Macaca mulatta: one gene and its partners. The protein of the gene in region 6 interacts with the protein of the main gene of each other region in a pairwise test. Links are inferred from orthologs where the notes say so. Each region holds a gene or a part of one and is shown on either strand. Other genes may lie near its edges.

Region 1 (4,159 bases), on a different chromosome or scaffold from region 6:
CTGCATGACCCGCAGTCATGCAAACACAGCTCAGATAGTTAGAGGTGGGCTGATGCTAAGCACTTAGAAGCCCCTAGGCACCCTCTAGAGCAGATGAAAGAGTGCTAACCTCATTTATATTAGAATGAAGCCAGAGAAAACACCATCAATGCCTTTGCTATTTTGAGAGAATTTCTGGCTTCCTCTGCATTTAGTATTTGTAGTTCAGCTTTCTTTACTGGTTTACATCTGTATCCTAACTTGTATTAGAATAAGACCTCCCTCCTTAAAGCTGGAGTTTGAGGTGGGGTATATGTATGTCTTATAACCACCTCTGAATGGGGGAGACTGGGAGCCTTGAATTCTGTCCCTTACCAAACATAGGGAAAGAGGAACATAGAACAGTAGATGCTGGCAGAGAAAGAAGTTAAAGGACTAACTCCCTATATAATCCCAAATATAATGTGGCAAGGTGGGGGAATGAGGAGTTGGCCCAAGACTAAGAAATGACCCTGGGAGTTTAAGTGGCAACAGATCTTGGGGTGGTATATCTCAAGGAGATGAAATGGAAGTTCTCAGGCAGTGACCTTACCTCAATCACGTATGTTAGGTAGAGCAGGGAATAGAGTGGGGAAAAGATATGGGCCAACTGTCATGTAGGAAGTGATGGAAAGAGGCTGAATATTTGGAGGTGAGAGAAAAAACCTAAAATGGGAGATAAAAGAATGTCTCAAGTACTAATGAATAAGAAATATATATTCTGTAAAGAAATGGGTAATTTTGATGAGTGCTGTATAACCTTCCTAATGATTACAAGAAATAGACAAAAAGAAGAAAACATTACTGAGTTGAGAAAAAAATTAATGCTTGTTAAATCATCAATCATATTTGTCAATGTGAAAGTTACCTAAAAATAAATTCTAGGTTACTGTTTGATAAATGATTGTGATACCATTACCAGTGATAAATCACTGGAGTCACCTCCATAGCTCTCACTGAGGTTACTAGATTGTTGAACCCTTCATGATTTCCTGTATCTTTAACCAAGGATTCTTCTGAGTCAAAGAGACACAGGGTAACAGAAAATAGTGCGGGAAGAGGGTAGTACATGGCTAAAGGCATAGAGGTTTGTAAGTGACCACTGTTACATTGCACTTGTAATACATTATTATTATGCCACTGCTGAACTAAAGTGCACTCTAAGTGTGGTAACATACTTATGGGATTATTGAATCTACCCATCAAGTGCAAATTACTAAGAGGAAATATTAACAGAATCTTCACATATATTAATAATAGAAAACTACCATTCTAATCCCTATATCTGTTGAGTTACCATTTACACAAGTCATGGACAATATTAGTTGAAAAACAAAAAATTAATCTTCACCTGGCACTGTCTTTGGTACATTTTCAGTTCTTGCAAGAGCTTCTGATTTTCATCTTGTAATTTATTCCTGCTTAGTGCTATCTCACTTACAGCTGATTTTAGTTTTTCAATAATGAACTCATCTCTTTCACCGATTTCACAATCGGGATCTGGGTCACATATCAAACGAGGAATTTCAGAGCTGCTGTCTTCTAAGCACTGTTTTTTACCATTTAGTTGAGTTTGGTAACTTTGTGCCTGTTTCTGAAAAACATAAAAACTGTGTAACTCAAATGAAGAATGTCATATTTAAGCTTACATGAAGTTCAAGAATGATAGAAAATAATTAGTAGGAATATCTTTAAATATGTTACTAGATAATGAAAGTTGGGTCTTTGTAATTCAGTCTTGTATTTGTTTTAAAATTTCAATTTCAGATGGCATAAAGAGAAAATATATTTGTATAACCTCAGAGCAAAGATGTAGACTAGAGAAGGAGGTTAGTGGTAGTAAAGCCATATCAAGCAAGAAAAAAAATCTAGAAGGTGTAAAAAGAAAACTATGAATTCAATTATACAATGGTTGAAAAAAGTCTATAACCAAAAATAAATACAAACAAACAATTTGATTGTAGGGGAAAAGTTGTCAGTGCATGTAACAGAGTTAATAATTCCTAATGTACAAACACTTCTACACATCAATAAGAAAAGGCAAACAACACAAAAGAAAAATGGGCAAAGTTTATGAATAGGCAATTCACAGAAAGACCTGAGAAAGGCTAAAAAGTATATGAGGAGATGCTCCGTCTTATAAGTAGCCAAGAAAATACGAAGTAAAGCAAGCAATCTTAAACTCTCTGAGTGCCTTGCCTATAGGCATACAAAAACATATGGTATTTAATGACACAATAACAATGGATTTTTAAATAGCTCCATCCTTTGAGACATGTAGACTAAATTCACCATTAACAGATATTCTATGCACTTATGACCGTACCCACCTTTGGACCTACTCTGGTGATTTTTTTCTTAGTTGGCATTTCTATTTGTAAATAGATTACATGCTGAATGGTAAAGATACCAATATTTAACTTCTACTTTTGATTTAGAGAATAGTATTAGATAACTTACCTGAAACTGATTACACTTCTCAGATAATAATTTTTGTTGAGCATCTAAAGAAATCAGATGAGTCTGATATAGTATCTCTTGCTTGTCCCATTCTCTTGACTTCGCTCTAAATTCCTTTTAAAAAGTGGGGAGACAAACATATTGAAAAATATTATTCATTTTAAAGTACAACGAATAGGGCTTCTTTCATTTGTACATCTTCATTCTGAGAAAAAAAAAAGTAAATCCATTCTTTACCTATTAGGGAAAACAAACAAAAAAAAAGGTGTCAAATAATTCATGTTGGATTTTTTTACCATCTCTAATTTTTGCTAGGAAAATACAGAATTTGTCACTTACTGTTAAAAATATAAAAAGTCTCTCTTATAACAAATACTTATTACTAATAAGGGAATTTCAAACAACCTTTTTTTTTTTTTTTTTTTTTTGCAGTAGCCAGTACTTTCTATTTGTTGACACGAAATATTTTTTCCTTCATTCATTCAGTTGCCAAATTTGTTCTCTTGTTTTTTTTAGAGGGTGGGGCTTGGACTTATTTAGTGACTGTTAAGGACTGAATGTTTGTGTCCCCCGCAACAAATGCATACGTCAAGCCTAAAGCCCAATGTGACGGCATTATGAAGTGGGGCCTTTGGGAGGTAATTAAGTCATGAGAGTGAAGCTCTCATGAACGGGATGAGTGCCCTTGTAAGAAGAGCTATGAGAGATTTTGTTTCCTCTCTCTTTCTTTCTCCCTGCCATCTGAGGATACAAAGAGCAGACAGCTGTCTGTGAACCAGGAGAAGGGCCCTTACCAGAATCTGATTATGCTGGGTGATATGGTTTGGCTCTGTGTCTCCTCCATCCAAATCTCACATTGAACTGCGATCCCGAGTGTGTGTGTGTGTTAGCAGGGGCCTGGCGGGCATGGGGGTAGTTTCTTTTTCTTTTTTTTTTGTTTTGAGATGGAGTCTTGTTCTGTCGCCCATGCTGGAGTGCAGTGGCACGATCTCGGCTCACTGCAACCTCTACCTCCCAGGTTCAAGCGATTCTCCTGCCTCAGCCTCCTGAGTAGCTGGGATTACAGTCACATGCCACCACGCCCGGATAATTTTTTGTAATTTTTAGTAGAAACAGCATTTCACCATGTTGGTCAGGCTGGTCTCAAACTCCTGACCTCGTGATCCGCCTGCTTCAGCCTCCCAAAGTGCTGGGACTACAGGCGTGAGCCACTGTGCCTGGCCTGGTGGTTTCTAGTAGTTTAGTACCATCCCCCTAGTGCTGTCTCTTGACAGAGTTCTCATGAGATCTGGCTGTGTAAGTGTGTATCACTTCCTGCTTTTCTCTCTCCCTCTCTCTCCTCCTGGCCACATTAAGACATGCCTTGCTTCCCCTTTGCCTTCCACCATGATTATAAGTTTCCCAAGGCCTCCCCAACCATGCCTCCTGTACAGCCTGTGGAACTGTGAGTCAATTAAATCATTTTTCTTCATAAATTACCCAGTCTTAGGTAGTTCATTATAGCTGTGTGAGAATGGATTAATACGCAGGCACTCTGATTTTGGACTACCAACCTCCAGAACTGTGAAAAATAAATGTCTGTTGTTTAAGCCACCCAGTTTATGGTATTTAGTTATAGCAGCCTGAACTAAGACAGTGACTTTGCCCCTTGTGGCCATGGCCAGGCCTCATTTAGGCAGTA
Region 2 (4,873 bases), on a different chromosome or scaffold from region 6:
AGACCATGTTGCCAGCTATGTTTTCTCTAAACGGTAAAATGTAAAAGAGTTTCCTTACGAATAATCTTTAGAACATATACGCCCATTTGCTTCCCACCTGGGAATTGTGTTTTTCAGTAATCATAATCAGTCTATCACAAGGATGCTTGAAAATAAAAATATTTCAAGTTCTTTACCTTTTAGAATCACTGTTCTATTTGCACTACCTCCTGCATATTTTTAACAAACAATGAAATTGTTACTACTTCTTAACTATTTAATAACTGCTTGTTAGTCTGAGAGTACTGACCATGTTCATTTCTAGTGATGATAATATAGACACATACAAATCTGAACCCAAATTTTGATCCTGATATTTAAGTTTTGAATATTCCTTAAAGTTCAAATAGTCTACAGGCTGGGAAGAATAAAAGATGGACAAGACTCTACCAATGAAATTAGTTAAAAATGATCACATAAAACTTTTACAGTACATGAACCCCAAGCAATTTATTATGTTCTCTAGATCAAAGTTCTCTTTTTCACAAAGAAATTTAGCAGTCTTCTTTTAGATTTCTAAGTTTAAGCGGAAAATCATCTATAGCAAGTGATCCAACAGAATAAAAATTAACAGTCAATAGAAATGACCTATTTATTCAGTGAAAGTTGCAAACAGTTGAAAAGGCAAAAAAAAAAAAATCTAATTATATTTGATAGTTTCATTACATCATAAATACCTCCTTTGGAGAATACAAATATTCAATATTGTGTCTACATGATATACTGTATCATGCATGGTTGCCTATAGAGACACTCACCCGTACAAATTCAATGTAAACAAATAGTAATGATTTGCTGACATCTTTGTATGTATTACCAATTACAGCCACAGGGGAAATTATTAAGGAACGTTATAGTGTACGGCATTTTTCAGAATTATTTTAGATACTAATATTTCTAAATTTGATAGTCATACTAACAACCCTATTGATTATCACTTGCTTATTTAATTAGCTAGTTAGAAAAGCATGCCTCTGGGTGAAAAAAAAAAATGAAATTCCCACCAGGAGGAAAAAAGATGTTAACAGATTTGAGCATCAGAATAGGAAAGGGAAAAGTTTAGTTTAAAAAGAGATAATTGAAAAAAAAAATACAAATAAAGTTCACAGCAGGAAGCTTGCCTATATAGAGAAATAGGCTGCAGCCTGTTAATATGTAACTACCTTTTTATAAGTACAATCTGTTAACAGGCTTACAAATCAGTCTCAGAGTTGTATTTGCAAAAAGTATAATTAGAATTAAAGAATATTATCATTTAAGTGCTACTCTGTGCATTCTAGAAAACTTAACTGTGTTAAATTAGCAAATCGCTACATTAGGTAATGTATAGTATGTTTCACTATGAATAACTTCAACATCTACCTATGAAATAAGGCTATATTTGCAAATAAAAGCTCACTAATTAAAGAGTTAATATATAGAACTGAAAATTTTAATTCAAAACTGTAAAGAAAGCTCAAACATTCGCTGGAATTATCTAGTAAAGATGCACTTTAATTATACAAAAAAACACACAGAAGAAATCAAAGAAAGATGACAGCACTGAAGTATATATGTTGGCTATTTTACTTTCTTCCCTGATTTGATACTGGCTTCTCTAATATGTGACCACATTCAAGCGTTACTTTATCCTCAATACTCTTTTTCTCTTCCATTGCTTCACTTCTAGAATGTTTTAATCTTTGTCCTTTCTTTTTTCGTCTTTTCATATCAAATTCAGTCGTTTGAGCGATGAACAGCTTGACTTAGCATATTTTTAACCAGCTGGTCTAGCACCTAGCTTGCATTGCATAGTCAGATACAACAAATGTTTATACAGAAGGTAGCTTTCATGAAAATGAAAAAAAGCCTGGGTATCATGCATCCTGGCTTTTTTTAGCTTTTTTTTTTTTAATTCACCATACAGAATACAAAGTTTGAATTCTTTTTAATGGCAAACAAAATTCTATTTATAGTTCAAAAAAATGAACTTATGCTGGGATAAGAACTCAAATTTAAAAATTGCAATGTGTACTTATAGGAACATTAAGAGGGCTAAAATTCTTTCAAAGCCCTGCTTTACTTGCAACAACATCAAATAAAAGGATGTTGCAGATACTTCTCTAAATAGGAACAACTTAATTACAAATACACTATTCCCATCATAGCAAAAGGGGAAAATACAGTAAATTAAAATTCAGTGAAGACAGCTAACACAAAAAGTGGTCACTAAAACTTAGAAAGGGAACAGCCCCATTTATCCCCTTTCCCCCCCTATTTTTGACACTTATGGAGTAATCTAATATAGCGGTGATGTTAAATTTTCTTTGGAGGAAAAAAAAAAAAAACGCTCTCTTATATCAACAAAAGGTCATGTGCTTTACTGAGCAGCTTCCAAAGTTTTACGGAAGGATCAAATAGGAACTTATAGCCTCCGTTTAAAGCACCACTAAAACCTTCTGTCACCCTAGAAATTACATGAGACCGAGATGCTGAAAATGGTAACATTCTGCACAAAAGCATTTTTAAAAGGTGGGGAGAAAACAATCAATGAAGGAAGAAAATAAGAGAGTGAATGAGAAAGAGAGAAGCAACGAGTTGGGGAGAGAGAGAGATGCTTAAGGTTCATTTAATTTGCTGTTACAGGACGCAACCTGAAAACATTAGCAGAAATCCCGGAGACTTTGCAAATCAGTTCAATTTGGTCCGGGCAACCACAACAAAAAAAAATCAGCTAACAAGACTGCAGAAGCCCAAGCTAAAAGCTTCTCTAACAAACACGTTTTGGGGGAGCATCTTCCAATGATTCAGAGACTACTGTAAAATGGGAGAGTTGTACTTCAATATATTAGGGGGAAAAAACTGTACTCACCTTTCAAACTCCTGAGGTAAATCAGGGTCAGTAAGCATGCTGGAAAAGCACAATTTCCCTTTGTCACAGCAGCCACCTATGATCGTCTCCAACTGAACCTGTCAAGTGAGTCCAAACCTTCTAAACCAATTGATTTTCTCTCTCTCTCTTCCCCCCCTCCCTCCCTCTCTCTCTCTCTCCCTCTCTCTCTCTGTCTCTCTCTCTCCCTCTTTCTCCCCCCCTCCTTTCCCTCCTCTCCCTCTCCTAGGACTCCTTGACCAGTCTCTTAAAGGGGCAGTGCACTTCCAGCAGCCGGGTCTGGCTGCTCCCCCCTCCGCGGAGCCACACGCTCCGGCTGCAAGGCTCTAGACAACCTCAGGGTGCCTGTCCTTTCCTTTTAATTCTCTCTTCTAGACATCACTGAATGTGAGAAGTCAACTCATTTAACACGTCTCCCATACTCTGTCTTCTGAATCATAAAACTCACACACACACACGCATAACAGTATGATTTTGTAAAACATATTTGCTGATTAAAAACCAAGTCTAGATAATAACAGAAGCTCGATTAAACTGCATTTATTAACTAATGAAGCAAAAAATTTAAATGTTAGCAATAGCATTTTTACACAAAGAATTGTTACTCCTTCTCACCCTTTTCTAGGCTCTCTCCGTTCACACACGGAAATACACGCACACATACACACACACACACACACACACACTCACACACACAACAATCGGGCATTGTTCTGAGGGAAGAAAAGCAACTTTGACAGATTGAAATATAGCAGAGGCCCCTTCAAGGAAACCTGTAAACAACTTGTCACTCACTCTGTCCGTCTCCCTGTTAGATCGTGCTTTCCGCAAAGTGGTGCGAACGTCCTGGCAACCCAACCAAAGTTTCCTCAGCTCTAAACTCCATAAAACACGATGTGCGATGTGGAGGGGAATAGGTATCCGCATGCCAAAATAACACCCACGAGCGCACAAAAACCCAAAACGAAATCAAAACATAACAACAAAAAGACGCTACTAACAAACTGTCCTGTTTGGGATCGCTGGGGAGGTCAGGAGTAGGAAGCGCTCCCCTGGCTGTGGATCTCTTTAATTTCCTCTGCCCAGGCAGCCACAGATAACAAGGTGGACAAACTATGGCTTTACAGATTCTAAGCTGGCTGGCAAGGCACAGCCTCCATAGCAGTTCCAATTATCTAGATAAAAATCTGGCAGGCGAGAAAGGTAATCAGGTAATGTACCTTTGACATGAAATGACAGAGGCACATACACACACAGAGAGAGACACTTACACAGACATGCATGCAGAGATGGTGGCTGCCCCGTGCACCGCAGCATCTGGTCAGGGAGTAAGCACACACTCACCAACACGAGATAGTGTGCATTCTTCACACACGCATGCACACACACATACACACACACACACACTCAGTCACTCACACACGCTCTCCACTCCTACTGGGAGGGTTCATTCTGCACAAAAGGCTACATTACAGAGCCCGCCCCAATAAGGGAAAGAGAGGAAAAAAAAGCCTTCCATTGTTGAGAGGGCAGGTCAGTTGATTAGATTTTCTGTGGAGAATTCCACGAGGAAATTCCCTTCAAAGCCGAAGTGATTAACTGGGGGCTATTCTGGAAATGGAGCAGACAATGGCTCAATAGTCTGTACAGCCAATGTCCAGGCTGGCACTGAACTCACTTAAAAAAAAAATAAAAGCCAGACTCCCTGTTCTTTTCCACACATTCCTCCCCCCCAGCCCCCTCCACTCCTTCCAACTTCCCCTCCCAATTCCTTTTATTTTGCAGCTGGACAACATTAAGAGCCTTTAAAACCACAAGGGTTGACCCCACGGCAGTTTGATTAGGTCCCACTTTTTTTTTCTGGAGACAGGCAGACAGTAAGTTTACTTTTTTAGACATTCACAATGATACATCATACACATATTCTGAAGACAAAAAAAAAATCAATTATTAACTCATATTAGT
Region 3 (3,416 bases), about 26 Mb from region 6:
GGGTTCAAGCGATTCTCTTGCCTCAGCCTCCCAAGTGGCTGGGATTACAGGCGTTGTACCACTACACCTGGTTAATTTTATATTTTTAGTAGAGACGAGGTTTCAGCATGTTGGCCTCGAACTCTTGACCTCAGGTGTTCCAACTGCCTTGGCCTCCCAAAGTGCTGGGATGACAGGTGTGAGCCACTGCACTGGGCCGTGAGTGACTTCTCTCCTGCTAACCAGGACTGAGACAGAGGAAGAAGTTACAAAGCGTTCAGAGTAAGACTTAAGACGTGACTTGCAGTTCATAGTCGGGCTCTCCTGCATTGTTGAATGGCTGATGCACAGCTGTGCTGGGAGAGACTCGCCCGTCCCTGGAGCATCGTGCCTGGTGAGTGTCTTAGTTGGGCCACACTGCGTGGTCTGTGCCAACCATGTGACTTATGGTGGGGGCTTGAGCCACAAGGTGTCAGCCGTGTCTATGTCACCGAACCCCAGTAAGACTTGGGACTGCATCCCTGGTTGGTGATGCTCTGTCTGTTGAAGCTGGGAGGGTTCAGTGATGTCTGTGGCCTTTACTGGCAGCCCCTGCCTGGCCCCTGTTCCGGGAGCCTCTTTCTTTGCTGGATTTTGTCTGTCATCCACCTTGACTTTGACAGTTGCGCCCAGTCCTCTGAGTGAATTACTGACCTGAGGGTGGGGGTGGTGCCCTCTGGGCTCCTGAATAGGCATGAGCCTATGTGTCAAAATACCGCATAGAGTGAACACCTCCATTTTATGGTTCAGAAAACGGAGGCTGGGGGCACTTGCAGGGTGCCCAGGCCCCTGCTGCTGTCAACCAGGAACAGACACAGAGCACACAGCCCTTCCCAACCAGGGTTTATTCGGCGCCTGGGCCCAGTGGCGGCGGCCTGGCTAGGTTGGGCACTACAGGGTCCTAACTCCTACCAGGTAGAAGAATGTCACTGAAGAGGGCAGGGCGTGGTGAGTGCGGGTCATGCGTGGCCGTCTGAGGGGTCGGGGAGAGGCCAGGACCAGGAGGTGGGGGTGCTGGCCCCAGGAAGCCGCCCCCTTCACCCACAACCTTGGGCTTCACCAGGACCGGGCAGCACAGAGACTGCTCTGCCTTCTCGGGTGGGGGCAGGGGAGGCCTCCTTCACGTCACAGCAGGGAAACACCGTGTGGAAGACGGGTTGAAAAGACAGCCTCTGCACCAGTTTCTAGAACACAGGGGATGTCCTTCACAAGCAGAAGGGGCCAGGGGTGGGCTCCTCCGCGGGCCTCTGGGAGGCTGTCAGTCCCGTCCCACCGTGCACCAAACAGCTAGAAGGACAGAGACAGGTTAGAGGGAAGGAGTGCGAATGTGGGTAGCTGGTGGGGGCCGTCTTGAAGGGCAGGTGGGGAGATGGCTTTGAGTCCTTATGTGACCCACGGGTGCTTGCTGGTCACCCAGGAGCAAACCACACACCTGGGAAGGGAAATTCAGTCTGGCTAGAAGTAGCGGGCTGTGGAAGGGGTGCTCTGGTGCAAGCTCCGGCCGGCATGCCTGGATGTGGGGCCACCTCAGGGCTGGCTCTGAGCCTGGAGCTCTCCTCTCCCCCTAGGACCCTCCCTGCACACCTGGCATTGGGGTCAGGAGCTTGCAGGCAAGTCCCTGGGAGAGGCGGGGTGGCTTCTAGGCTCTTGCCCGGCTCTCCAATCAAGTGGCCACTGCAGTTCCAGGCCTTCGCCCCCTACCTGGCACCGAGATCCTGGAGAGGGCCTCAGGCTGGCTCAGTGTGTCCACCTTGACGTGCCGGAACGCCTTACACACGGGACTTTGCAGGTGCCTGCGATCCAGGGAGATGTGTTAGGGGCACCAGGAGTGGAGCTTGGCATGTGGATCCCCTGTTAATCCTAGCTCTGCCCAAAATGGGGAGCTTATAAATAAGCCCGGGGGGGGGGGTCTTTGGACTCCAAGCCTTTGTGGGAAGGTGAGGGGGTGCCTAGGGAGGCTGACTCTGGGGTAGGCACTGAGCCTTACATGGGCAGTGGCATCCCCCTACTCAGTGCACAGAGCATCGACCTCCTGTTTTACCCTAGGAGGAGGAGTGGGGCCATCCTCCGCCTGGGACGGATGACAACACAGCAGCTGTGAAGGGTTTTAGTCCCTCATTTTATGAGTCACTGAAGTACGGACAGGCAGGGGACACCCTCACTTCTCATGACAGCCCCTGTTCCCACAGGGGTCCTGAGTTTCTCTGCAAACTGTGTTTACCGGGGAAGCAGGATATCGGGGCATGAGCTACCCCCAGGCCCTGCTTCCTGCCTGTGGGGTCTGGCGCATCAGAAATTAGGCTCCGCCCAGAGTGGGGAACAACCTGTCCCAGATGTGCTTGGAGCAGACGACAAAGGCCTAAAGCCCATCAGAGCTGATGACACCCTACCCCATCTCCCTCCCTCCTACAAGGCACTCAGCTGGGGGGGAGGTTAAGCGCTGGAACAACTGATCACATGGGGACTGAGGTACCTTCTAGGTCAGGTCCTCAGCTCTACAGGGTGATAAAGAAGGCAGTGCCTTGGCCCACAAGGTGCTCTACAGGGAAAGAGCGTGGTGGGGGGTCTCTCTACCCACCAGGAGCTCCTGGCTCCAGGAAGACAGCCCCCACACCTGCTATGGAGACCCAGTGTCTCACCTCTTCCATGCCTCCTCCGTCTCCCAGAACTCATAGATGACAAAGGTGAAGCCATCCGAGAGCCTCACGGCAGTGATGCTGCAACAGGAGACAGACAGGCAGGGAGGCTGGGGCTCAACCGTGGCCACCCTAGTCCTGTAGCCCACCCCTATACACAACCGCTGCCTTCAACCTTTCTGGTCCTCCAGCGAGACTCAACAGGGTGCCCCCACCACCTGGAACAAGGCCTGGTTTCTTATAGTGGCCAATAGCTATTTGTCAATGACATGTAGTTTTTCTTTTGAGACAGGGTCTCACTCTGTTGCCCAGGCTGGAGTGCAGTGGCACAATCACTTCAGCCTCCCAAGTAGCTGGGACTATAGGTGTGCACCACTTGGCCTGGCTAATTCAAAAAATGTCCTAGTAGAGCTGGGGTCTTGCTATGGTCCCCACGCTGGTCTTGAACTCCTGGGCTCAGGCAGTCCTCTCGCCTTGGCTTCCCAAACTGCTGGGATTGCAAACTTCAGCCACTGTGCCCAGCTGAAATGTCATGTTAAAATCTTCACCTTTATTTAAACAAAACCAGGTGGCTGCGTGTGATGGTTCACACCTGTAATCCCAGAACTTGGGAAGTCTTGAGGGGCCGAGGCAGGTGGATTACTTGAGGCCAGAAATTCAAGACCAGCCTAGCCAAAATGGCAAAACCTGGTCTCTTAAAAAAAAAGTTGCCAGGCCTGGTGCCATAGGCCTGTAATCCCAGCTATGCAGGAGGCTGAGGCT
Region 4 (4,159 bases), on a different chromosome or scaffold from region 6:
CAGGTTCTGAAAGTTCTGGGAGGCACCAGCATTTCTATCTCCTGTGCCACTTCACAGATGGCACAGCAAAGCCAAGACTCCCTAAGTAATATTATCAAAGTTGCCCTCTCAAGATGTTTACTTATGCAAGCTTCAAGGTCCTGCCCCTAGTCCTGAACCCCTGCTGCATTTGTCTGGATCAGCCCTCCAAGCAGCATTTCTTGCTGTGGCAGGCTGTTGTTTTCAAAATGTACTTGTCCTAGCAGTAGGGAGGGGTATGTAAGGTAATGGAGGAGACACAGCACCCAGCCCTTCTGTCCATATGCTTGCCTGTGCATCTGTCCACCTGCCACTACCCATGTATCCACCCACCCACCTATCCCACCACCCACCCATCCATCCATCCATCCATTCATCCATGCAATCAGCAGGTCAGCTCCCGTTGTGGGAGGCACGTGGCAGGGGATCTAGAGATAGGATTTCGTTTTCCTCCTCTGAGAGCTTGCCACCTAATGGGCACACTAATAACTACAGAAAGGCAGATGTCATCAGTGCCCCAAGAGAGGCGCGTTCAGAGATTAGTTGCGAGCAAGGCCATGCCAGCCCTTGGTCAGTCTCCAGCAGAGCCTCTTCTCTCATTCCAGCTGAGGCAGGGCTGGAATAGAGGTATTGGATTGTCTCAAGCCCTAGATAAAAATTTCTCCACTACTTTCTCCAAAGCCAGATGATAAGCCTTGCTGTCTGATACCCTAGTCCTGAGCATGCCAGTGTCACTCAGAGGAGAGTCCCTCTTCCCCTAATGTCTTATGTCCAAATATAAAGCCAGGCCTCGGGGCTAGGGAATAAAACCTGCACAAGAGGGGAGATGTAACCGCAGCAAGGACGCCCTCCTGCTACTGGGTGCACTGGTGGTCTGGGGCCCCCGCATCCAGCCCAGGTCGGGGCAGGGCCTGCAGGAGGCACTGGCATCTCAGATGGAAAAGGAGAAGGTGAGAAGAGTGGTTCACTGGGGGCAGCGGAGCATTCCTGAGAACACTACTGGACTGTCCTCGAGTGCACAGGCCCTGAGTGGGCTTTCTAGGCAGAGCAGGAAAGCCCCTCCCCTCGGCACGGAGCCCCAGGGGCACCAGACGTGCTGGGATGACCTCTCTTGTTTGTCTCCACCAGGAGCAGCCACCGGCTGCCGTCAATCATCAGTCAGGTTGGGAGTCAAGCCCTCAGCCTGGCTGTTCTGCAACAGTGGCTGCCTCCCCAGCCCATCCCCGGTCCCCAAGGGTAAACTCACCATGCTGTCTCTCCCCGGGGAGCTGGAGCGGCTGGGCCCAGGGGCCTGACCCTTTCCCTTCTCCCACAGCGTGTAGCGGCCAATGGGTCGGAAGGTTGGGCTGAGGATTTCAGGGACTCGTGAAGGAGGGGTCTGGGAGGGCACCTGAGATGCACTGCCCTTGCGACCATAGTTCTCCAGGTAGTCCACCAGGTACTCAGGGCGGCTGGCTGCCTGGTAGAGCCCCTGCAGGGTGCAGAGCTCCTTGCGCGTCCGGGCCAGCATGGGGCTGCGACCCAGGTTCCCGGGGTCTATCCGGTAGTTATCTGAGGTCCGGAGGCTGGAGAAATCCCGGGCCAGGTCTGATTGGCTGTCCGACTTCTGGGTTAGGGTCACCCCCTGGTCATAGGCATTCATGGGCAGGTAGCTGAGGCAGTTGTTGCTCACTCCATAAGGGAATCCACTGCCCCCACTGAGGCCACTGCCTGAAGGCCGCTCAGTACCCCGGGTCTGGCTCTCTGCCCGCTTACCTCCCCCAGTGATGTTGGGTCTCAGCAGGGGGCGGCCCCGGTCATAGTCCAGGATGGAGGAGGGGCCATAGGTACGGGGACGGGTGAGGAAGCTGCTGGCGGGGACCGGCTTGAAACCAAATTTCTCTTTCTCCAGTAAGGAGGCAGCCAGGTTGGCCCCATAGGAGGAGGGGGTATAGGCACCATAGCCCGACTTGGAATAGTGGGCATCTGTGTAGCGGGCTGATTCTGTGTAGCGCTTCAGGGTGGAGGAGAGCTGGGACATCCTTCAGGGTCGCACTCAGTGGGGACTGGGAGCCTCATGGGCTGAAAGACAAGGAGAGTAGTTGTCAGAGGGCCCTGCCAGGTGTCGGGCTCCCACAGACCCGCTCCCCATCCCTAGCTGGGCCAGAACCTAAGAGCTCCCAGTCCATTTCCACAAGAGACAGGCTGGCTGCTGAGAAACACACATGCACACAGGTGTGCACACGGGCTTGCTTGCACCTGTGTGTTCACGCCTCAGTGAGAGTGCAAGGGATGAGGTGGCTTTTATATGCCACACAGGGAATCAGCGCATCCTGGCCATTCAAAGACTCAAACACACAAGCAGGGGCTACCCGACGTCCACAGCCCACCAAGCCGTGCAGTCTTCCAGCTCAAATCCCATTGCCTCAGCAACTGCAGAAACTCTTGAGCTGGGGGGATGCCACAGACCCCTGGGTTGAGAATGCTGGATATTTCAGGAGTTAAGACCACTTCTGTCCCTTCTGACTTATGTGATGAGCAGGTGTCTTTTTGGAAACCTAGACTGTGCTGGAATGACCTGAAGATCATTTGGTCAGATCCCCTGTGGGGCCAAGGAGGCTCAGGAGAGGAAGTAATGGGGTGTGGGTGGGCAGGGGAGGCCGTGAGTGAGCATGCAACAGCGAGGGGCCAGAACGTGGTCTCCAGACCTTTTCCCCAGACACCAGCATCTGCTGCTGGTCCCACAGTGAGGGACACTCGTGAAGTAGAACCCACTCATGTCACTGAGCTAAGCTTCTGTTCTAAGTGGAGTTAGGGCCCTGGGCCTCCCAAGAGTTCCTCTACCAACACAGGGTTCCTCTACCGACATGGATCCGGATCCCAAATTGGTCCTGGTGATGTTTGTGCAAAGGGGGCCCCCTACAGTCCCAAATCTTGCACTGCACGTGGCATTCCCAGTCCTTCCCTGTTCCAGTCCAGCAGCTGGGGAGGGTCTAGTGAAGGAACTGCTGAATGTGGAGCTTTGAAAGCCCCAGAGGATCATGAATTTTAATCTATCTGTTGTACAGATGGGAAAAGTGGTGCTTATTTCTCCCCAGCCACACACCAGCAGAGCCAGGACTGGAATCCAGGTCTTTGAAATCCTGGCCAGTGTTCTTTCCACTTAACCTTGAGTTACCACCCCCTCATCAGATTTAGGGTCAGTTGGGGACCCCCGGAGGCCTTCCATTGCCGTAAACATGCAGCCTGTATCCAATAGAGCTGGAGTGGCAGAGGAGCAAGTAGGGTCAGAAGCCTGTCCTCAAGGGCATCAGGGGCTCTTGGGGGGCTCTCTAGGGGGACGGAAGCAGAGCCATCCAGGACTCTCAGAGTGGTGGGACTTGCCCTGTGATAGACTAGCTGGGTGATTTTGCACTAATCATGTAACCTCTCTGAGCCCCAACTTCCTCATCTGTAAATGAGTAAAACCACCATCCTCATAATTCCTACCTCACAGGGCTGTTGTGAGGAATAAATGAGATAACAACACGTGAAGGGCTCCACAATGACAGTGGTTACCATCTCCTCCCCGAGCTACTGCGAGGCAGCCTGGCTCTGCCCTCTGTAGGTCTATGATAATATCAGGGCTGGCTGTCTCCCAGCCTGGCCAGCCTCTAGCCTCAGCTTGGGACACCAGGCCTCCCCATGCAGCCCCCAGCGAGAGAAGCAGGCAGTGGGCAGACATCTGGCCACTCAGCAGACACTGGCTGGGCAACCCAGCCCATCAGGGCAGAGAGGAGATGGTGCCAAACCCCAAATGCAAGGGCTTGGCAGAAAGCTCTAGAATCCCAGTCCACACAAGGCTTTGGGGTAGGTACAGGGGTGAGAGATGAGCAGGTAGCTTCTATATAGGACCCAGAACAGCATTTCTTGACCCTGCCTGAGAACTCCAGCAGTTTTCAGTCCAGGCTGACATCAGAAAGGCCTGGTCCATCTTATTGTCCTTTTGCCACCTGGCCCAGGGGGCCCCGGCCCTCCATGTATACTTCTTTGCCCACTGTGCCCAGCACAACTTTCACCCCTTTCTAGGGAAAGGTAACTGGGGGATGACATTACACAGGGTTAGAGGGAAACCGTAGCGGGAGAGACAGACAGAGGCACAAGGTGGGGGTGGGAGGCCCAG
Region 5 (4,652 bases), on a different chromosome or scaffold from region 6:
TACGTTCTTTAAAAAAGAAAAACTTGTATATTCAAAGTCAACTCCCAAGGAGACAAGAGTCAAACTCAAACCCGTCTCTCGGTGCTGACATTAAGGCAGTATTTTTATTAGAAAAGTTTCCGGGGGTAGATTCCGAGATTAGTAGGTGATTGGTAGATGGAAATGGGAGATATGGAAAGTCCCAAAGAGTAAGAAATCAGTAACTAACAGAAATTTTTGAGTTTCGGGATAGCAGATAAGAAAAGAAATTTAAGCTGCTGAAACTCCCTCCACTTGCGAGATCTAGAAAAACCTGGCGGAAATTGGTTGGAACCAAAATGGCTGACTGGAGCTTGCACACAATAAGCTTGCTGATGTCGTAGGCTGAATTTCCACCACATGTTTTGTACTAATTCCCCCTGAATTTGCACATGCAACTCAGGAGTTAACATGAAGAAATAACTGTGCATGCCCAAGGACTTTCCAGACCTCCCTTTTCCTTGTACCAATCACCTGCTAATCTCAGAATCCACCCCCTGAACCTTTTCTAATAAAAATACTGCTTTAATGCCAGCACAGAGAGACAAATTTGAGCTTGACTCCTGCCTCCTTCAGAGGTGACTTTTAATATAAAGCTTTTCTTTTTTTCAAAAACTTGGTGTCAGTATTGGCTTCTAGCATATTGGGCAGTGAGCCCCTTTTGCTTGATAACAAACTAGAACCCCAGGTGAGACGAACAGCCTGTTCAAGGTACTGTTGCCCCTAGTGGTGTGCAGGCCCCCTGCACTGATCCTGAGTAGCCACCTAGACCAGTGCGTTCAGAGGCTCAACTATAGGGTTCCTGCTTCTCTACCATGGCACTTCAGGTTCCCTTGGCACTTTTCCTTTGGGAAAAGAAATTGCTTCTGGATTAGACATCTTTCTGGTGAGTACCTTGTTAATACATACCTGTACTTTTAATTGTCTTTGAACTCATCATAAGGACTGTGGGTTCAGGTCCCACCCTGTGGTTTAGGATTATGGATGAGAGTCCCACCCTTGTCTAGGACTGTGGGTTTGAGTCCTACCCAAGGGGGATTCTGGTCAGGTTAGAGTCCCAAATCTGGTGTATGTTCAAGTCACAAAGAATTAAGGCAATAGTAAAAAGCTGCAGCCACTGAGATAATCTAGTCTGGTTCTGATTTTTGTTGATCTGTCTGTATTTTTGGTCTGTGTATCAATGTTTGGCTTAACAAAGGTTAAAGACTGTGATGGCTCCAGCAGAAGCCTTATGAGAGCTCCAGAGTAGTTTATCCGCACACTCAATTAGAACAAAGCAACTCCATAAACTAGAAAACCTGAAGAAAAATGGCACATGGAAAAAATGTCAGTCAAACCCTCTTTCTTCTTCTGCCCCTAAAGAGTTGTCATGTAGTCTTCTAAGTTATTTGCCTGTCTTTTCTTCTTGACTACTTTGAATCTGCTGACTTTTTTACTAGTGTTGAGATAAAACTTACTGTTCATGGTATTACTAGTTTAAGGTTACTGGCTAAAGAAAAAAAAAATGAAAGAGGTCTTTTAAAATCAAAGTGCCATGGAAACTGCTTTGCTCATCAGGGCAAATAAAGTTGAGCTATGTGAACAGGTTCTAATTTTATCAGGAAAATAAGTTTGATCCAACTGTCTCGTTTACGCATATACATGCATTATGTTATGTGTTGTTTCTATATGGTATCAAATGAGCTTATAAATAAAAGAGTACTGATACATTAAATAAATAAGCCCAAAAGCTTTTCAAGTTCATGTGACTTTAATAATCTTTGGAAAATAAAACCAATTTAAAATTATTGATAAAATAAAAATAGATATGTCTTCAGAATTGTCAGCATGTGATTTTGCCTGTGTTTACTGGTCAGCTGACATGTGCATCTGCTAGTTATTTTAAGATGTCCAGGTTTGGCACAAAAGTCACGAAATTATAAACCTAGCCAAAACAGAATAATCTTTGTTTACGTGATTCTTTTGATAAATAAGACTAATATTGTTGGTTTAATGACAACAATGAAATCCTCTGATTTATCAGCAAAATATCCATGTATTTCACTTCAAAGTTCTTACTTAGGTGAACACCTGATATTCACAAGCTGTGAAATGGTTAACAAGGAAAAAACTTAAAATGATGACCAGCTTTGTCTAATATCTCTGTTCTCATAACTAATCTAGATAAACTGTTAAAAACAAATAAATTAGATAAACGTAATAAATGAAATTCTTATGTTTTTGAAAATCTTGAAGTTATCATACTTACTGAGCAGCTGGGTCACTTCCAATTAAGAAAATGTATAAGGAAATGTTTCTAAAGGTTAAAAAATGGTTTTAAAATACATAAATTATAATATTTTATCTATAAAATACTGATATATGACAGACAATTCAAGAGTTCTTACCTCCTAGGTTCTTCCCTAAAATAAGGATTACTAAGAGTTAATATTGTGACTTATATATGTAATTGAAACTACTAGATACAAGAGAAACAATTCTATATGCAAAATGTATAAGAAAAATAGGATGTGTTTTTGGTAAACACATAAGAAGACAGGAATATGGTTTTCATTTAAGGGCAAGTAATTTTGCCTAGTTTAGAGGTTCTAAAGGATTGTTTTAAATTGAAGGAATAAAAAAATTATAGATAAAACTAAATAAATATAGAAAGTTAAAGAATGAAAATATAACAAATTGGAAGAGGTTATAAAAGGTTTACGGAAATCTTATCTTGCAGTCAAAACTAACTGAGATTGAATAGATTTGTTTATAAGGTCTTATTAAAATTAGCTGTAATATTAAAAATGCACTAACACAAAACTAAAAATTTTGGTTAAAGCCACAAAATTTTTTGAAGTATTGATTTGCTCTCAATGATATTGCAAGAAATATTGACTTTAAATTCTAAAATTAAAATGTCAGATTTATATCTCAGAAGTTCAACTTTTCCTGTACCTTGTTACATATAAGTTGCAGATCACATTCATTATCTTCTGTTTTTTTCCCCTTGAAAAAAACATATCTTTTTGCTTGGCTGGTCTGATAACTCTTCTTCAACTTTTTCATGAACTCCTACAATTTTTTACCCCAGCCCTAATGCTGTTCTTATGGCATAATGCTAACATATTTATCTTAAAGTTTAGAAAAGCAATGTTTTCCTCAAATGTAATATAATCTTATACTCTTGGCTTTATGATATGTCTGAATTATTTTGTATAACCAGGAAACCGCCCATGTAACTTTCTGTTACTTACTTTTGAGGTCCTTTGACTGTCATGCTAGTTAAATGAATAACTATTATTTTAAAATGACCTGTAGTTCGTTTTGATCAAATGTTCTGAATCTTTTAACATCTTTGGTAGGATTTATCTGGTAAAGTTGTATGGGAGACATTATCAAATGCTAAATAATACTGGATCTTCTTTTGGTTATGTTTATGGGTGCGCTATTGATATAAATGTACTAAAAATTACATACGTTTATAAAAGTCTCACATGCTATGAGTCGTAATTTTGATATGTTAAATCTTTTTAAAAGTTATATTTGTGTAGATACATTATTAGTAGAAATATTCTTAAGATTATATTATTATAAAAATCAGATGGTCCTGATGTGATGCTGTCAGTCATGGTTCTGGTTGTTATCTTAAAATGCTACATATAATAGAAATAACTACATTTTCCTGACAATTGACAACTTTTATCAGGTTTTAGCCATGGCTAAGTTTTTGTAATCCACAGTTATTGTTTTGAATTCTTCTCTAAAAAGCTTTCCAATCAGCTACAACCCAAATTACTTTTCATGCAAAGGACTCTGATCAGTACTCTTAAACACAGATTTCTGATAACTTTGGAGATAATGCCATCAGACTAGGAAAAGTCTTCCAGGGCTCTGATTAAAAAGTTGCATGAGAATTGCTAACCCAACATCAAACAGAACAAGAATTAGCTACATGGGACTGAACTGATAGAGGAATAAAAAGATCTTTTATGACATTTTTATTTGAAACATTGATGATCTCTTATGTTTTGTTTTCCTGAGTCAAGAAAACATTTTCCTTTTGAACCGTTTTTAACTTACAACACATTAGATAAAATATACCTTTGTGAACAAAACTTTGAGGCATTTACCTTTCTCTCTGCTCTCTCCAGAACTTGGAAGCTGTTTGTGAGTATTCTCAGTTTATGGCAATATATTATTTGCATTAGTTTTCAATAAAAAACTATTTTCTTTGGTAATAGAACACAATTGGAGACACTGGTTATTTTACTAAGGCTTTGACTGGAATGACATGTTTTTAGGTATGACCAGAATGGAGGTTAACTTTAGAGCACCAATAAAAAAAGCCTCTTAAAAAGACTGGCCTGGTAGCTGGTCTGTAAGGTTCCTTTACAAAGTTTCTGTCCTCGCAGTAAGTAAAAAATGTCACTTTCTGATAGGTCCAGCAACCTATTTTGGGACCCTGAGAAAAGAGGAATAACACATCCATTCATCTAGGTATTACAGGCACAATCTGACGGCAAATCCTTGGGTTGACTGATCTCAAGGCTTTTAAAAGTCAGAAATTCCTTATTTTAAAAGGTCCAGCAAAGCCCATTCGAAAACAAAAGCCTATATGGTGAATCATTATTCTTGCTGTACTTTATGCAAAT
Region 6 (4,808 bases):
CAGGTGGATAACCTGAAGTCAGGAGTTCAAGACCAGCCTGACCAATGTGGCGAAACCCCATCTCTACTGAAAATACAAAATTAGCTGGGCATGGTGACATATGCCTGTAATCCCAGCTATTCAGGAGGCTGAGGCAGGAGAATCGCTTGAACCTGGGAGGAGGAGGTGGCAGTGAGCCAAAGATCATGCATTGCACTCCAGCCTGGGCAACAAGAGTGAAACTCTGTCTCAAAAATTTTTAAAAATTTAAAAAAAGAAAATCAAACTGGATATCCAAATGATAATTAAATTACATATGTTCATTCATTACCACTGCTGTTACCAGAAAATGGGTCTTGTCCCAGACTCCAAGAGTGGGCTCTTAGATCTCACTTTCTCGGGAAAGAATTCAGGGCAAGTTGCAGAGTACAGCAAAGTTAAGATAGTTTGTTAGAGACTATTATGGAGTAGGGCTTCCTCAGAAAGCAAAAGGAGGAATGCCCCTACTTTAAAATTTTTATTTATTTATTTATTTATTTAGATACAAGATCTCACTCTGTCACTGAGGCTGGAGTACAGTGGCACTATCATGGCTTACTATAGCCTCAATTTCCTAGGCTCAATTAATCCTTCCACCTCTGACTCCCAAGTAGCTGAGTTACAGGTACACACCACCATGGCTGGCTAACTTTTGTATCTTTTGTAAATATAAGGTTTTTTCATGTTGGCCAGGCTGGTCTTCAACTCCTGAGCTGAAGAGATCCATCCATCTCAGCCTCCCAAAGTGCTGGGATTACAGGCGTGAGCCACCATGCCTGGCCAAGAATGCCTCACCTTAAACATAGTGCTTGCTTATATAGGTTGTTAAGAATAGCATACTTCATTACAAAGACTTTTGATCAGCTTGTGACGGGCTATTAGTATTGTTATTTTCCTATGTTACTACTGATTTCCACAAGAATTTATGTGTGTACTATTATCTTTAAAGTAAAATCTATTCTTAAACTAAGAATGCTTTTTGTTCTTGAAATATTGGGACGTTTCCATAAGTTCTGGGTCTTTATTTGGTAAGTTAGCATCATTAACTCATCCCCTCAACCATAAATATCTTGTGACCAACAGTGTCAACCCCCTGGGAATGCTGCCCAGCAGGATTGGCTTTACTTAGCCTTTATTCAGGATGGAGTCTCTCTGGTCAGGACATCTCTGACACTATTAACCTTCTATCTCAATGTCTTTCCCTCTCTCACCACGCAACCTTAGATAATTAATTTGTTAATTACCAATCTCATAAATGAAACAATGCTGACCAGGGCAAATGGCTGGTCTGGATGTTCCCAAGGATGTATTGCAGGCGGCAGGAAGGACGATGGACCCAGCATCCACTTTACCCGGGGACGATCATAAAACAATTTGCACCATGGTACTGAGGGCCAGAAGGCCAGAAGACAGCCATGTGATCAAAATAATCTTTCCTAGGCCAGGTGCGGTAGCTCACACCTGTAATCCCAGCACTATGGGAGGCCAAGGCAGGTGGATCACTTGTGGCCAGGAGTTCAAGACCGGCCTAACCAACACGGCAAAACCCTGTCTCTACTAAAAATACAAAAATCAGCCGGGCGTGATGGTGTGCACCTGTAATCCCAGCTACTTGGGAGGCTGTGGCACGAGAATCACTTGAACCTGGGAGGTGGAGGTTGCAGTGAGGCAGGATTGTGCCACTGCACTCCAGCCTGGGCAACAGAGTGAAACTCTGCCTCAAAATAATAAAAATAATAACAATAATGTTTCCCACAGGTAAAATATTTTCAAGCGGAAGGAGTGGAAGTACTAGCCAGTCATATATATAGATCATCAAGGAATAAGGATGAGCTTCCGGAAGCGAATTCTGGCAGCTGGGCTTACCTGCTACTCCCTGGGAGCTTTTTGGCGCCTTTATTATTATTATTATTGTTCTTTAATTTTCTGTCTGGAATAGCTGGGACTACAGGTGCACACCACCACATATGGCTACTTTTTTTTTTTTCTTTTAGTACAGACAGGGTCTTGCCCAGGCTGGTCTCAAACTCCTGAGCTCAAATGATCCTCCCGCCTCAGTCTCTCAAAGTGCTGGGATTACAGGTGTGAGCCACCGTGCCTGGCTGAGATTTCATCAAGCTACTTAGAACATCATGCAACTTAGAATTTATGAATTGTTTATTTCTGGAATTTTCCATTTAATATTTTTGGACCTTGGGGCCTAACCAACACGGCAAACCCTGTCTCTACTAAAAATACAAAAATCAGCCAGGTGTGATGGTGCGCACCTGTAATCCCAGCTATTTGGGAGGCTGTGGCACGAGAATCACTTGAACCTGGGAGGTAGAGGTTGCAGTGAGGCAAGAGGGTTACTGAAACCTCAGAAAGCAAAACTGTGGATAAGAGAGGATTACTATACTGCCATAAAGTTGCATTTTTAAAATAATTTCAAACATTGTATCCAAGTAATATGTGTATTCAATTAAAATTTCATCCCTTCAGTGTTTTATAAGTAATTCAAATACCAGAGTGGTAACCATCTTCTAGGAATATTAGTTACAATCCCAATCACTGTTTTTCAAAAAGATGTTGTCAGTCCTGCTCCTGAAATTTCTCTCCAACAGGTCTCCTCCTCCCATTCCCACTGCCCCAACCCAGCCAGGCCCTTACCTCGCACTGCTCCGGGACGCCAGCCTCCAATCTGAGGCTTTCCTGGTGTCTGGGCTTCCATGCAGCTGTCAGAGTGTTCTTCCTGAAAAGAAACTCCATCCATGCCATTTTCCGAGCAATACGCTTTACTGGGTTGTCCTGTAGCCTTCAGGATAAAGTACAGATTCCTAAGCATGACACCTTGGATGAAGTATTTTCCAGTCTGTTCCCTCCTTTCCAGATTACCACCTGCCCCTTTGACCCTGCCCTTTGGTCATTAGCTACAATCAGCTGCTCTCTCCAGCAAGCCTCACTAGCTCTCCAAGCCTTCCCCCATGATGCTCTCTGCCCAGACTGCCCTTCCTCCTGTTCCTCTGCCTACAAGATCCGACGTGCCCTTCAGCCTCCAATGTTAGTTCACCAAAATCTTCCCTTTGAATTACGAATGCAGCTGGCTGCAAACTCCTCCAAGTGACCAGAGTGTCCTATAATCACCTCTATGATAGCATCTTTGATTTAGGGGGTGATTTTTCTTTTTTTCTTTTCTTTTTTTTTTTTTTTTTTTTTTTTTTTGCATTTCTGAATTTCCTAAGAGAATGTGAATTCCTAGAATCCTAGGAATTCTCATCTGATTTTTATTCCCAACATAGCACCATGCAAAGCAAAAAGTAGGTACCCAATAACTGCTTTTGGAATGAATGAATGAATCAATGAATGGTACCATGCAGCTGCCAAAGTGCTTTCTGCAAAGCAACTCTGACCTTGTTGCTCTCTGAGCTGTGCTCCTTCCTGGGTGATGAGGTAACACTGGAAGCTATTAACAGATAAGAGAGAAAAAAAAAGGAGGGGAGAGATCTCTGGGGCTCTGACAAATTACTTATTTTCACTGAGTTTCTGTTTCCTCATTTGTAAAACAAAAGTGCTGCCCGGATGAGCTCTGAAGGCATCTTCCAGTTCTCAAATTCCAGCCTGCTTGGCTCCCAAACAACTTTCCTGGAGTCTCTGGCAGCTATAACCCAAGTCTTAGCACCATCTAGTGATAAACAGGCACACAGCTGGGAGGGAAGGCCGGGGAGTGGGGAGGGTGGATAAGAGAAGGAATGCCAACCTTAATTATATTATGAGCTGGCAAGGAATTAGGTCAAACCTGCAAATACGAAGTTAAAACTAAGAGGCCTAACTTTATCCTGGGGATGGAATAACTAATTAGCTTCAGAACATGGATGAAGTAGACAATTATAGAATGCCTGAGACATGGAAAAGACAATAAAACAATTCCTGTGTACCCTGGCCCTCTGGTTCTTTTATCAATTTACTGCTTGTTACTGTAATTAAAGTTTTCTTGGGAGGACATGTGCTTTTGAAGGGCCTATGGCATGGGACTCTAATAACTCAATAAAACCACAAATTTATTAAGAATATATATGTATTTTTCAAATTTCTTCTTATTTATTTATTTATTTGAGACAAGGTCTTGCTCTGTTGTCCAGGCCGGAGTGCAGTGCCATGATCATGGCTCACTGCAACCTCGAACCCCTGGGCTCAAGCAATTCTCCCACCGCAGCCTCCTGAGTAGTGAGGACTACAGGGATGTGCCACCATGCCCAGCTAATTTTAAAATTTTCAGCCAGGCACGGTGGCTCACGCCTGTAAATCTCAGCATTTTTGGAGGCTGAGGCAGGTAGCTCACACAGTCAGGAGTTTGAGACCAGCCTGGCCAGCATGGTGAAACCCCATCTCTACTAAAAATACAAAAATTGGCTAGACATGGTGGTGTGTGCCTGTAATCCCAGCTACTCAGGAGGCTGAGGTAGGAGACTCTTACCCCGGGAAATGGAGGTTGCAGTGAGCCGAGATCCTGCCACTGCACTCCAGCCTGGGCGACAAAGCGAGACTGTCTCGAAAAAAAAAAAAAAAAAAAATTCTTTTTTTCAATAGAGATTGGGGTGGGGGAGGTCTCACCATGTTTTGCCCAGGTTGGTCTTGAACTCCTGGCCTCAAGCGATTCTCCCACCTTGGCCTCCCAAAGTGCTGGAATTACAGGTGTGAGCCCCAAGTTCAACCTCTTTACCTTTATTGGAGTATAATAAGACCAAAATATGACTAATTAACACTATAGGAAATAAGGATAATTCTGAGAGAAGCAGCAAAACAGTAATAAG
Region 7 (4,614 bases), on a different chromosome or scaffold from region 6:
CAGCCTGGGCAACAGAGCGAGACTCTGTCTCAAAAAAAAAAAAAAAAAGAGAGAGAGAAAAAAGGAAAAGAAAATTTTAAAAAATTAAAATTTCAGTTCTTCCACTGCTCTAGCCCCATTCAAGCGCTCAAAAGCTATGTGTGGCTAGTGCTACCATATTGGGCAATGCAAAAAGAACATGTTCCTGGTTTCCTAAAGCTCTTCTAAACAGCACTGAAGGAAAACAGTGCAGATCACTCTCCAGAAAACAATATGCAAATGCCTGAAACAAGACACAAATAATGGTTAACACACTAAAGCAAGCCCATAGCTCCATAGTTCATTATAAATAATTAACAAAGGAGCAGTAAACCTAAAAGTAACCAGAGTTTGTAGGTTTGAACAGGGAGAAAGAGTGAAGTCGGTTTTATATAAAGATCACTAGTTTCAAATACGTGCCAAAATTGGAGTTGTCATAAGCAATAAAAGACAACACAGGTCACTTTTTTAAAAGCCCTTTCCGGTGGGACTGCATGTGGTAAACACAAAATGTCTGAAATGAATCCTACAAATAGTATACCATGGGCTAAATCTTCTGCAAAACAGAAGTAAACACATTCCATGCATAGCAAGACTCAATCTTACAGTCCAGATAGTCCGTATCAGATGAAAGCATTTTAAAAATGCATCATATTTACGATAACAAAATAAGCTGGAACCAGGATGGTTCTCCAACACAAAAACGCAGACCAACTAGACTCCACCAGGTTCAAGTCTCTGCTTTCCTCCCTAGTTGCTCCATGCCCCGCACCACCCGATCCTGTGCTGTTTAGACGACTCACTTTAAATTGTGCACAAGATTCACAAACAACAAACGTCAAAGTGAAAGTGAAGTACAATTTAAGTGCTGGCGGATGTTCCTAAGGAGGACGGTGTTTACTGAAATCTTTCAAAGGTGCCGTTTTACACGATGACGGTGCTACAATATGAACACAGTCTAGTATCTCAGAACACACAGCAAGTTACTGTTCCGTAAGAACATCATCCTCTGATCTATATCAAAACACTGTCTCAGAACAGAGCTGAAAACCAGCGTCTGGATGACGTGAACAGCCTGACATCTAATTCAAAGCGCTACCATCATAAGCCGTGAACGGAATCCTTAAGGATGCGGGCTCAGCTCCAGCGCTCCTTCCAACTTCCCCTCCCAGGTGCGGCTGGTTCAGAATTAAGGGACCTCAGGTAGCCAAGGACTGCAAGGACAGCCATTTGGTTTAATTTTGAAGACCCAAGGGCCAAAGATTTCTCGACAATTTAATGTGCAAGGGGGGTCAAGTGAGAAATGGGAAGAGGCCGCGTTGGAAAGCCACTGCGCGTGCGGGGACTACTGGGGCGGCCGCGGGGTCGTGGGCCAGAGCCCAGGTCCGCCGCCGGGTCCCGCACACCCCACGCCCCTCATCCTAAAGTTGGGCCATCAGTCAGCGACCGCCACGAGGAGCCCCCATCCCCGCCGGGTGGGCCGCACTGCCCCGAGAAGGCCTCCCCGCGGTCGGTGACACCGGTGCCCACTGGAGGCGGCCACGGGGCTTCCACAGCCCCCAGCGCCTCTGCGAGACCCTCCCGGGGCCACCGACCTCCCCGCGGGCCCCCAGGGCCGCCCACCCTCGGCCCCGACCCCGCCGCCTGCCTGCCCGCGGCCCGGGGGGCCCCGCGCGCCCCCGGCCCACCTGCCTCCTCCGGGTCCTCTCGGAGCGGCCGGCTGGGGACGCGGGGGCGCGGAGGAAAGGCCGAGAGGCGCGCTCCCGCCGGCGCTGTCTCCCGTGGCCGCCCACGGAGCCTCCCGCCGCGCCGCTCCGGACCTCGCCGGGCCCCTCCCGCTGCCTCCCACGCGTGGTGGGCGCGCGCGCAGTGCAGGCGGCCGGGCGGCGCGCAGGCCTCGGCCTCGGCCCCGCGCACGCGCCGGGAACTCGGTGGGGACGGAGGAGGGAGTGCGCGCCTGCGCTGGCTCACCTCGCGCCCGCGCCCCCGCACTCCCCAACGGGCAGAAGATCCGGCGCACGCGGGCCCGAGACCCCGGCTAGCAGCGTCTGCGGGGTGTCGCAGTGTTACCTCCCCCGCTGCGAAGCCAGGCGGCCCCGGCACGCCGTGCGTGCCCACCGCCTTCACAGCGCTCAGCCTCGTGGCCTCACATCTCCACCCTGCGGCTCTCCCACCAGCTGCTCGGGCCAGGGACCGCGTCTTACCCGTCTTGGGCTCCCCGGAGTCCAGCTGAGTGTGGCCGAGAGTATATCCACCAGTTCCCTGCTGGCAGGGCTTGCTGTAAAAGGCCTAATCCATGCTACACCCACGTTGAGCAATTTAGTTCATATCTCCTGCGGCTTTGCTGCCTCTTCACCCACCTTCTCTCCTGACCCCCTTTCTCCGTCTCCCAAGGACCTGACAGGGTGAACTGTGCGCCTAAAGTCGTGAACTCTGACAGCCTGTCATCTGGTAGCAAGAAAGCGTTACTGGATACATAGTAAGTCCCCTTAATGAGGAGACCTAGTAAGACCATGGCCGAGGTTTGAAACATGGAGTCAACAGTTACATCGTATCAGCTGTCTCTGAGGCCTACAGCGGCTGCTTCATAGAGGCTGTACTTCTGTGTTCAGTGCGCACAGTGCCTAGCAGGAACAGATGTTGAACGAACGTCTGTCATTGTCTCTGCAAGAGCAGAGGTAAGCGCTCACCTCACCCCAGAGCATCTTTTCCTGTTAGAATCATTGATTCCATGGGCTGGGAAAAGCCCCCTTCCCAGTTGCCTGAATCCTCCTTACAGTGTCTTCCCACCAAGCGGTGGTTTAACACCTCGCGGTGTAACAAGGAGCTCATTACCTTTTAAGGCAGTTATTTAATCTTTGATCAGCCTTTTGGAAAATTTCTTTCTACCTTAGAAGCTAAAATCCAGCTCCCTGCATCTCCCCATCATTGGATTTTGTTTCTGCCCTGGGAATTCTTAAGTCTGACTCCAATTTATCCAAGACACGCATTACCTATCCCTTAAGCTACTCCTGATATGACATGGTCACAATCCCACTCACCAGCATGTTGAGGGATTCTCTTGGATGCATCCCAGCTTGTCCAGAGCTCTCTTAAATGTGATTATCAGGAATGAGTGGGTGGCCTGCCAAGTGCGGAGAGGAAAGAGACTGCCACCTCTTCAAGGTCCTATGCTTGTGTTAACAAAAATTCACCATATCAAAATAGTTGCTAGGAGCAGTCACATCACATTGTTGAATCGGGTGGCGCACACTGTTGACTAAAACCCACAATATTTAAATACGTGACCATCCCCAAGCCTGGTCAGCTGCCAGTTTCTCTGTCTCTGCAGGCTCAGCATCTGTGAGTGCTCTCAGAGATAATGTGTAACACAGATACTTCCTCCTCCCTCTGAAGAGTCCGCCTCCCTTTCCCTGCTTTCATCATACCCTCTTCTTGTCTGACCCACCCATCTCTTTAGCTGGTTAAAAGAAGAAAGGCAATCTGCCCTTGGTTGGCTTCAAGCACCTATAAATGAGGCCGATTGTCACTGAACCTCAGAAAGTCATAAAGATCTGTGTGTAACAGAGGAGCTATTGGTGAAGTTTCCAAAGGTATACAGTTCACTTTTACTGGTGATTTAAATTATCCCTCTGAAATACCACTATTAGTCAGTGACAAGGCATGGCCGAGTTGTTATTAGCTATAATAAAGATCTCTGTTAGAACCAGTCAGGCCACTGGCTTTATCTGCTACACCCAAACACCGGAATACATAGGCAAATTCCCAGGATACCAAGCCACCAGAGTCTCCCACTCACTTAGTGGCCTTTGTTCAAAAATCTGACGTTACTCCTTTACACCATCATCAAGAATGCAAGTGCTCGTTAGAGTCATGCTTCCTAGAGTATCTCATGACATACAAGCTTTAGAACCAGGTATTGCCCAGTTAACAAGAGTGAGACTGGACAATGATACGCGGCCAGAACTTGGAACTTGAACTATTCATTGGGGTGGGAAGGCACATGGGGATGTGGACCAACTGTAGCTGCTGAGATTCAATTATATCTGGAGACACAAAGTTCCTGAAAAGTGTAGCAATAATCCACAGTGTCAGGAGGTGATCGACTTACTGGTCAACATCACGGTGTGGAGAAGGGGCATTACTCACTGACCACTGTAAAGGCACTTGGCCTATGGAGAGCTTACTTGTCTTCACTTTACAAATGAAGAAACAGACTCTGGGAGGCTGCGTGACTTGCTCCATGTAGCCAGGGGCAGAAATAAGATTCAAACCTAAGTCTGTCTGATCTGAAGGCCTGTGTTGATTCACTACTTTGCTAACCTACACAGGCTGTCTTTGGGGGCATTAAACACCCAGAATGGCTGCATAGAGCAGCATGCAGAAATTCAGACACTCAGCAGCATGGAGATCTGTCAGCAGCTTTCAGGACCCCCACCATGATAAAACGGTTAGAGGAAATAGCAAAAGAAGACAAGGTCACTGCTTTTACATGGACTGGATATGGGGTAGAATATCATCAGTTTCTAAATTGTGAGTGTATAGGGGGCCTAGCCCTTAGGACCGTGAGAGACACCCAACTGTCAGAATTGGGGC

What was found.
Region 1: the proteins of KIFC3 (region 6) and DEUP1 interact in binary tests that used the Homo sapiens proteins (3 or more experiments, as listed by UniProt). The two-hybrid records come from large-scale screens. The link is inferred for Macaca mulatta from reciprocal best matches to the Homo sapiens genes KIFC3 and DEUP1.
Region 2: the proteins of KIFC3 (region 6) and SOX5 interact in binary tests that used the Homo sapiens proteins (3 or more experiments, as listed by UniProt). The two-hybrid records come from large-scale screens. The link is inferred for Macaca mulatta from reciprocal best matches to the Homo sapiens genes KIFC3 and SOX5.
Region 3: the proteins of KIFC3 (region 6) and NECAB2 interact in binary tests that used the Homo sapiens proteins (3 or more experiments, as listed by UniProt). The two-hybrid records come from large-scale screens. The link is inferred for Macaca mulatta from reciprocal best matches to the Homo sapiens genes KIFC3 and NECAB2.
Region 4: the proteins of KIFC3 (region 6) and USP2 interact in binary tests that used the Homo sapiens proteins (3 or more experiments, as listed by UniProt). The two-hybrid records come from large-scale screens. The link is inferred for Macaca mulatta from reciprocal best matches to the Homo sapiens genes KIFC3 and USP2.
Region 5: the proteins of KIFC3 (region 6) and CBY2 interact in binary tests that used the Homo sapiens proteins (3 or more experiments, as listed by UniProt). The two-hybrid records come from large-scale screens. The link is inferred for Macaca mulatta from reciprocal best matches to the Homo sapiens genes KIFC3 and CBY2.
Region 7: the proteins of KIFC3 (region 6) and CLIP4 interact in binary tests that used the Homo sapiens proteins (3 or more experiments, as listed by UniProt). The two-hybrid records come from large-scale screens. The link is inferred for Macaca mulatta from reciprocal best matches to the Homo sapiens genes KIFC3 and CLIP4.

Annotation. Positions count from the first base shown.
Region 1 is NC_133419.1:94,210,368-94,214,526, reverse strand, and holds part of DEUP1 (deuterosome assembly protein 1), read right to left. Parts: intron 2,593-4,159; coding exon 2,479-2,592; intron 1,613-2,478; coding exon 1,370-1,612; intron 1-1,369. UniProt on the Homo sapiens protein: Key structural component of the deuterosome, a structure that promotes de novo centriole amplification in multiciliated cells.
Region 2 is NC_133416.1:26,282,548-26,287,420, forward strand, and holds the start of SOX5 (transcription factor SOX-5), read right to left. Parts: upstream 3,002-4,873; 5' UTR 2,929-3,001; coding exon 2,891-2,928; intron 1-2,890.
Region 3 is NC_133425.1:79,364,011-79,367,426, reverse strand, and holds the end of NECAB2 (N-terminal EF-hand calcium-binding protein 2), read right to left. Parts: intron 2,736-3,416; coding exon 2,658-2,735; intron 1,812-2,657; coding exon 1,720-1,811; intron 1,306-1,719; coding exon 1,277-1,305; 3' UTR 849-1,276; downstream 1-848. UniProt on the Homo sapiens protein: May act as a signaling scaffold protein that senses intracellular calcium.
Region 4 is NC_133419.1:120,062,098-120,066,256, forward strand, and holds part of USP2 (ubiquitin carboxyl-terminal hydrolase 2), read right to left. Parts: intron 2,080-4,159; 5' UTR 2,039-2,079; coding exon 1,265-2,038; intron 1-1,264. UniProt on the Homo sapiens protein: Hydrolase that deubiquitinates polyubiquitinated target proteins such as MDM2, MDM4 and CCND1. Isoform 1 and isoform 4 possess both ubiquitin-specific peptidase and isopeptidase activities.
Region 5 is NC_133422.1:24,969,836-24,974,487, reverse strand, and holds the start of CBY2 (protein chibby homolog 2), read right to left. Parts: upstream 3,067-4,652; coding exon 2,956-3,066; intron 1-2,955.
Region 6 is NC_133425.1:53,471,447-53,476,254, forward strand, and holds the start of KIFC3 (kinesin-like protein KIFC3), read right to left. Parts: upstream 3,075-4,808; 5' UTR 2,776-3,074; coding exon 2,668-2,775; intron 1-2,667. UniProt on the Homo sapiens protein: Minus-end microtubule-dependent motor protein. Involved in apically targeted transport. Required for zonula adherens maintenance.
Region 7 is NC_133418.1:95,855,249-95,859,862, forward strand, and holds the start of CLIP4 (CAP-Gly domain-containing linker protein 4), read right to left. Parts: upstream 3,346-4,614; 5' UTR 3,060-3,345; intron 2,251-3,059; exon of another isoform or gene 2,223-2,250; intron 2,071-2,222; exon of another isoform or gene 1,990-2,070; intron 1,890-1,989; exon of another isoform or gene 1,707-1,889; intron 1-1,706.